2 linked regions of the Canis lupus familiaris genome follow. The protein of the gene in region 1 interacts with the protein of each later gene in a pairwise test. Links are inferred from orthologs where the notes say so. Each region holds a gene or a part of one and is shown in the gene's direction. Other genes may lie near its edges.

Region 1 (3,823 bases):
ATAGAATATCTCAACAACAAATTTTTTTTTAAGATTTTATGTATTCACAAGAGACACACAGAGAGAGAGAGAGAGGCAGAGACACAGGCAGAGGGAGAAGCAGGCTCCATGCAGGGAGCCCGATGCGGGACTTGATCCCAGGACCCCAGGATCATGCCCTGGGCCGAAGGCAGAAGGTCAACCACTGAGCCACCCAGGCACCCCTCAAAATTTTAAGACTGTAGTGAATGACAGGAGTAACACCTTTGTGCTCACTAGCATCGTCAAGGCTTGTCTCAAGTCAGTGCTTGTAGTTTTCCAGTTTTGGAGGAGCAGAACGTCTTCAGAAGTGGAAGTGATGGAAGCACCTGACGGATGCCAAGCCCTTGATGTGTTACTTTTCTTTGTAGCTCTCCAGTGAAGAAGCCAAGTCTTCTAAAGACCCATCAGTTTGAAGGAGACCCTTTTGACTCGGGCTCTGAGGGCTCTGAAGGTCTTGGGCCATGTGTATCATCCCTTAGCACCCTGATAGGTACCGTGGCTGAGACTTCTGAGGAGAAATACCGCCTGCTTGACCAGAGGGACAGGATCATGCGGCAAGGTATGGTGGGCACATCTCAGCTGTGGTCCAGGAACCTGGCTGAGGTCATGATAAGGTCACTCCGGGAGCTGTGAGGAGGGAGCAACCCTGCCCGTGGGGTCCACTGTCCTTGAGTCTCTGGGCCCTCCAGTGCCCCGCCTATTATGTGCTATTTACTAGTTTCCTAAGGGGCTGGGTGTAGATGTGGACATAATGCAGATATGTCTTTTTTTTATATTTGGAAGAAAATCCATAAACTATTGATCTGTGCTAAATTAAACTTTTTTTTTTTTTTTTTTTTAATTTATGATAGTCACACACAGAGAGAGAGAGAGAGAGAGGCAGAGACACAGGCAGAGGGAGAAGCAGGCTCCATGCACTGGGAGCCCGATGTGGGATTTGATCCCGGGTCTCCACGATTGCGCCCTGGGCCAAAGGCAGGCGCCAAACTGCTGTGCCACCCAGGGATCCCAAAATTAAACATTTTAAAGGGTAATTTTTAGACAGAAAGCACATTTTTTTTTTTTTTTTATTTGGTTATTCATGAGAGACACAAGCAGAGGGAGAAGCAGGCTCCCTGTGAGGAGGCTGATGTGGGTCTCGATCCCGGGACCCCAGGATCACGCCCTGGGCTGAAGGCAGACACTCAACCACTGAGCCACCCAGGCGCCCCCAGAAAGCACATATTAAACAAATCTGTTTGAAAGAAATCTCCATAAATAAAACTTAAGAAATGCAACCCAGGGTAAAAATTGGTAATTCCTTTCAGAAAGGGCTGATTTCCCTAATATAGAAAGTTCTGTGGAAGTTACTGTGGAAAAGACCAGCCCAATTGAGAAACGATTAGAGGGTCAGCAGGGTTACAGAAAAGGAAGTATACTTGACCCTTGACCAACACAAAGGCAGGAGCAGGAACACCGTCCCCCTTGTAGTCAAAAATCCACATATAACTTTTGACTCCCCCAAAACTTAACTGCTAATAACCTGCTGGTGACTCACGTATAACACAGCATGTGTTTTGTTTGTTATATGTATCACGTCTTGCATTCCTGCAATACATTAAGCTAGGGAGAAGAAAATGTTATGAAAATACATGTACAGTGCTGTAAAAAAAAAAAAATCTGTGTACCACGGGACCTGTGCAGTTGAAACCTGTGTTCAAGGGTCAACTGTGTCGTGAATTGGCTTTTAAACATATGGGAAGGTGCTCACCCCGTCATACAGAGTGATGCCAGTTACACCCCAGAGGTGGCCTTTGCCCCCTTGTGCCGTGCTGCCCTGTCCTTGGGCCGGCCGTGGACGGCTGCACTCCTTTGGAAGAGGGCAGGTCTGCGGTATCTTTCAGCCTTAGGGAAGTCTGCCTTTGACCCAGCATTCATCCAGTGTCTGTCCCACACGCGGTCCTGCGTGTGTGTTTCACAGAAAAGCTTGTTTGTGACGACAAAGATTGGGAACTGACTGTCCACGTAGCAGGATTCTAAACAGTCTGAAAGAAGACTGGGGTTTCTTTATGGAAAAAAAATGAAGATTTATTGTGAAGTGGAAGATCATAGTGTGGAAGTATGTAGTATGCCACCGTTCGTATATAAATAAAGGGGGAAGCGTGTGTCTGTACATACACGAGCGTACCTGCCTGCGGGTACATGCGATAGTCCTGGGGTATGAAAAGATATGTTCACGTTGACTCAGAGCGGGGAGCAAGGTGGGGAGGGGTTCTATTTTGACATTTTTATACCTTTCAAATATGACCCATCTGAATATATTACCTCTTCAAAAAATATTCTGTTACCTTTAAAAAAATGTGTGCAGTGACCATGAATAAAGGTATTTGTGCTTTTCTTTGCGAAGTTTCTTTTAAATTATATTTTAGCTGTAGGATTTTCTTCTTTTAGAATATGTGAATAAGTGGAATAATCACAGTGCTTCCTTAATATGGTAGTAAGAGCTGCTGTCATACGTTATCACTGTCATACGTTATCATACATACATTATATCAACATGGTGATTTTTATATTCCAAATAAAATTAGTGGGTATTGAAATTTCCCAAAATAAAAATAAGCTGTGTGTATTTTGAGCCTGAAGTTGTTGTATTTCATCTCACTTAAAAGATAACTTGTAACTATTTAATTTTATGGGAAGTGGCAGTGGTTTAATCAGGACCAAGGTGTTTGCTGTTATAGTAGTAATGGGATAAAAGAGAACCAATGCAGTACTTTTAGAGCACTAGTGTGTTTGGAATATTTACAATTAGCAAATTGATCTTAACAAACACACTGCAGCACGGTTGTTCATTGTTGAGTTGCTACAAAGCCTTGGACAGCGATGCGTGCCGCCCTGCCAGCATGCAGTGCAGACCTGTGGCTGTTGCGAGGGGACGGGGCCTTTGGGTGCCCTGCTACCTGACGTTATAGGCCATACTGCCCTTTCTCTACTGGTGCTTTACTTCGTCTTTTGTGTATGGCATTTGCTTTCATTTTTCCTTTTATCGTCATAGTAATTGTGTTACACATTTTTACTTGTCATTTAGCTCGAGTGAAAAGAACCGACCTGGACAAAGCGAGGACTTTCGTTGGGACATGCCCAGATATGTGTCCTGAGAAGGAGCGGTACATGCGGGAGACCCGGAGCCAGCTGAGTGTGTTTGAAGTGGTCCCAGGGACTGACCAGGTGAAGCCCCCTGACCTCTCTAGGCTGCCGTCCATATTTAATCTTCAGGGTGGAGGTGGGATATATATAGGGGCAGGTGGACGTAGTATTCTTTGTACTTTCTGTACATATTGATACTTGATTTGGGTGTTTACGTTTGTAGAGGGTGGCAGGGATTTAGAGTGTGGCTACCGTGAATGTTCATACTAAATTGTTCTGTGAGGTGTGTACTAAACAATCTTGTGTAAGGTGACTGACCCCATGGTGCTCTGAGGTATAGATGTAGATATAGATTTGTTTCATAGATTAAAAGTTTCTTTTCTTTTTTTCACAAATTTAGTCCTACCTTTTCTGTTTGTGTTTTGACAGTTGAGATTATTCTCTAGATGCAATTGTGTGTGAATCCTTTTCACTTAAAATTATGAACATTTTCTTTTCTGATAAACTCAGCCTCTTTTAAATGAAAGTATATTGTTTGATTATGTAGCTCTATCAAAACTTCCCATTTTGCAATCACTAGATAGGCTATTTCTAATATTTACATTTCATTAATAATCCTATTGGGCATATTATGTGTAGTGAGTCTGAAGTAGATAGATTATTTCCTTCTGATAGA
Region 2 (3,823 bases), on another chromosome or scaffold:
CTCTGCCTAATTATTCTCTCTCTTGCCGATGTGCAGCCTCCTGAGCAATGCCTTTGAGGAGCTGGTTGCCTTCCAGCGGGCTTTAAAGGATTTTGTGGCCTCCATTGATGCTACCTATGCCAAGCAGTATGAGGAGTTCTACATAGGATTGGAGGGCAGCTTTGGCTCCAAGCATGTCTCTCCTCGGACTCTTACCTCCTGCTTCCTCAGCTGTGTAGTCTGTGTGGAGGGCATTGTCACTAAGTGTGAGTGGCTTCAAGTGGGGCCAAGGGAACGGAGGTGGGATAGACTTAGAGGGCTGGGAAAGCAGGAAGATAGAGCTACTGAGTAGAGCTAGGTAGTGTAGGGCCTTAAACTGACAGAGGGGAGCTGGAAGCAGCTGTGAGCATATACAGTGATGAGGGGGTCCAGAATGGTGAATTCTGCTGAGCGTAGGGGAGTTTCGGCCCTTGGCAATCTCCTCATTCTTAACTCTGAACTATTATTTCTTGGTCAGGATTGGTTGTACTTGAGGTTTTATATAGAAATGTTGATGTTCTAAATATAAAAATGAATAAAACAAATATTATGGAAGTAGCTTAAACTAGTCAGAAGAACACAGTATTTAGAATCAAGATAGACTTGCCTGGGTCAAGTTCCACCTCTGTTGCTGTCTAGTTGCATGACTTTATATGCATGTGTTCCTTTGCTAGGCTCTCTAGTTCGTCCCAAAGTCGTCCGCAGTGTCCACTACTGCCCCGCTACCAAGAAGACTATAGAGCGACGTTATTCTGATCTCACCACCCTGGTGGCTTTTCCTTCCAGCTCTGTCTATCCCACTAAGGTGAGGGGAATGAATTACTTGGGGTTCTTGGGAAGTTGGAATCAAAGATGTCTGTTTTAATGCAAATAATTGATATCTGAAGTCTTCTAGAAGTAAATCAGATGAAAAGTAAGGATTAATCTAAAGGAAAGATTGATTGCTAGCTAGAGTTTAATATGGAAAGTCTTCAATTCTTTTTTTTTTTTTTTAAAGAGAATAAAGATTCACTTTAGAAAACCTGGCAAATTATAGAAGGATTGAAAAAAGACACTAATCTACATTGATCTTTTAGCAGGGTTATATATAACTTTATCATCTACCTAAAGTAATATGGGAGAGTGTTTATGCTATAATGTTACCATGAAATCTTTGCAGATATTTTACTTTGGGTTTGGGAGAAGAATGGCATTGGGAATGGCTTTTTACTTAAGTGTTCAGATTGGCCTGAACTGAGAACAATGGGAGGCTTTCTTAATGAGACAAGATGATTAATGTTGGATACTTATCTGAATTCATTCTATCAAAGAATACCTGTCCCTGCCGTCAAATTTTAATTGAGAGCCACTGTATCCAAATAATTGTTAAGCACTGTGGAGGATACAAATACGAATGAGACCCAGTTCTTATTTTCAACTCAATTGGTGCAGGAATCTTAACATAAAACAAAAATGAGTATCTTAGAATTATAACTAAAGCATACTTTAGAATCATTGAGTCTATCTGCAGGTGAAACGCTGAAATTCAGAGAGGTTAAGTGACTTGCACATGGTTCCAGTTAGTGATGACCCTAAGGGCTAGGATTCATGTCCTTTTACTTTCAGGCCATTTGCCTTTTTTAAGTCATCCTCTTTTTCATTAAGATCCCTCCTTCTAGAGTGTCTTCATAAGTACTCAGAGAGTACTCTTCTGATGATTACAGGGGCCAGGCTTCTTTGCTCAATACTTGAAATACGTTGGACTCCTGGAGGTCGTCTAGTGTGGTACTGAAGAATATGGCTTTGGAGTTAGACTTGTCTCGAGTTCTGGTTCTGCAATTTCCTATGTGACTTGGGGAACTTACTTAAACCTTGCCAGCTTCAGTTTCCTTATTTGTTAATGTGAAAAATATCTGCTTTACTGAGTAGTTGGGATGATTACATGAGATCATCTCATAAATAACAGCACAATGCCATCTACATAGTAAGCACTCAATAAGTGACAGCTGTTTTGTTTTTAGAAAATTCAAATAGCAAGCAAGTCAAAGTTTAAAATGTTTTTACTAAAGTTTAATATACATACAGGAAAGTTTATATAAGTATACACTAAATATATACCTATAAAATCAGCATCCAAACCAGGAAACAGTACCTTCCTAGCACTCAGATATTTGAGGACCCACACTCCCAAATGTTAACCCTATTCTGATATCTAGCAACATGGAGTACTTTTGCCTGCTTTTATATTTTATCTAAATACTCATATATTGGGCTTCCTTTGTTCATCAGATGTTTTTGAGATTCATCCATGCTGTTATAGGTGTATTTTATATCTTTTCATCACTGTATAGTATTTTTTTTTTGGTGGATATACCACATTTATTTAACCATTCTGTTGATGGCATTTGGATATTTTCTAATTTTTGGCTATTGGGAATAATATTGCTATGAACATTGTAGTATGTGGCTTTGGATAGATGTTTCTGTTGGGTATTACCTAGGAGTGGGAAATACTGTGCCATAGTATAGGGGGAACAGGAATCTTAATTTAGGTGTTAATAGAGCCATGGTTCCTTTAGGATATAGTTGTCCCTTCCATTAGATGATTTGTTACTATAACAGATGGGAATGGAAAAAAACTGGAGAAGACATTTGGCTTTTTTTGTTCCTAGATACTAAAATCTCCGGAGGTCATTTCCAAATTATATTTGCTTCCTATAAAAAATGAGTACGGGGATGCCTGGGTGGCTCAGCAGTTGAGCGCCTGCCTTCGGCCCAGGGAGTGATCCTGGAGTCCCTGGACTGAGTCCCACATCGGGCTCCCTGCCTCTCCCAGGCAGAGAGCCTGCTTCTCTCTCTGCCTCTCTCTGTCTCTCTCTCTGTCTCTCTCTGTCTCTCATGAATTAAAAAAAAAAAAAAAAATCTTTAAAAACAAAAAAGTGAGTATGGCATTTCTAAGACTGGGGTGAGATAATGATGCTTTTCTGTGTGTCTGTTTCAGGACGAGGAAAACAATCCCCTTGAGACCGAATATGGCCTTTCTGTCTACAAGGACCATCAGACCATCACCATCCAGGAGATGCCGGAGAAGGCCCCAGCAGGCCAACTTCCCCGCTCTGTGGATGTCATTCTGGATGATGACTTGGTAGATAAAGTGAAGCCTGGTGACCGAGTCCAGGTGGTGGGGACCTACCGTTGCCTTCCGGGAAAGAAGGGAGGCTACACCTCAGGGACCTTCAGGTAAAGGGGCAGTTGTGAGGTATTTGACATGCTGCTGGCAGCTTGCATTTCTGGTAGTATTCTTGCTCCAATTTTGCCATATTCTGGAGCATCACAACAGACAGGTGGAACAACCTTGCTGCATGGGAGATGGGATACCTCTTTTTCATCAGATAAAACTGGTAATAGTATCTTATGCTAAAAGTGGGAGTTACTGGTAACATGGTCATAGCCTCATGGCTTACCTGGGAGTTCACATATTCCCACCTCCGTCTCATCCACACTTCTGTCCGAAGATCTGTGTGGCAGCAGAGGATAAATTCCGAGGTGAAGAATTATCAGCATATTTGTGTCACAGACTAAGATTAGTCAGTTGCTGAATTCAGAACAATTTGTCTTTTTTCTTTATTGTTTTCCAAATTGCTATTGGCTCTGATGTTAGGATTTGAAAACTGCAGGCTTCCTCTTATTCCTATCTTTGTCCCAGGACTATCCTGATTGCCTGTAATGTGAAGCAAATGAGCAAGGACGTTCAGCCTTCATTCTCTGCTGAGGATATAGCCAAGATCAAGAAGTTCAGTAAAACTCGTTCCAAGGTCTGAGCATC

Evidence for each region.
Region 2: the proteins of MCM3AP (region 1) and MCM3 interact in a two-hybrid assay, tested with the Homo sapiens proteins (2 studies listed by BioGRID). The link is inferred for Canis lupus familiaris from reciprocal best matches to the Homo sapiens genes MCM3AP and MCM3.

The regions. Positions count from the first base shown.
Region 1 is NC_049252.1:39,531,518-39,535,340, reverse strand, and holds part of MCM3AP (germinal-center associated nuclear protein), read left to right. Parts: intron 1-389; coding exon 390-580; intron 581-3,088; coding exon 3,089-3,228; intron 3,229-3,823.
Region 2 is NC_049233.1:20,185,194-20,189,016, reverse strand, and holds part of MCM3 (DNA replication licensing factor MCM3), read left to right. Parts: intron 1-36; coding exon 37-245; intron 246-692; coding exon 693-823; intron 824-2,998; coding exon 2,999-3,237; intron 3,238-3,703; coding exon 3,704-3,812; intron 3,813-3,823. UniProt on the Homo sapiens protein: Acts as a component of the MCM2-7 complex (MCM complex) which is the replicative helicase essential for 'once per cell cycle' DNA replication initiation and elongation in eukaryotic cells.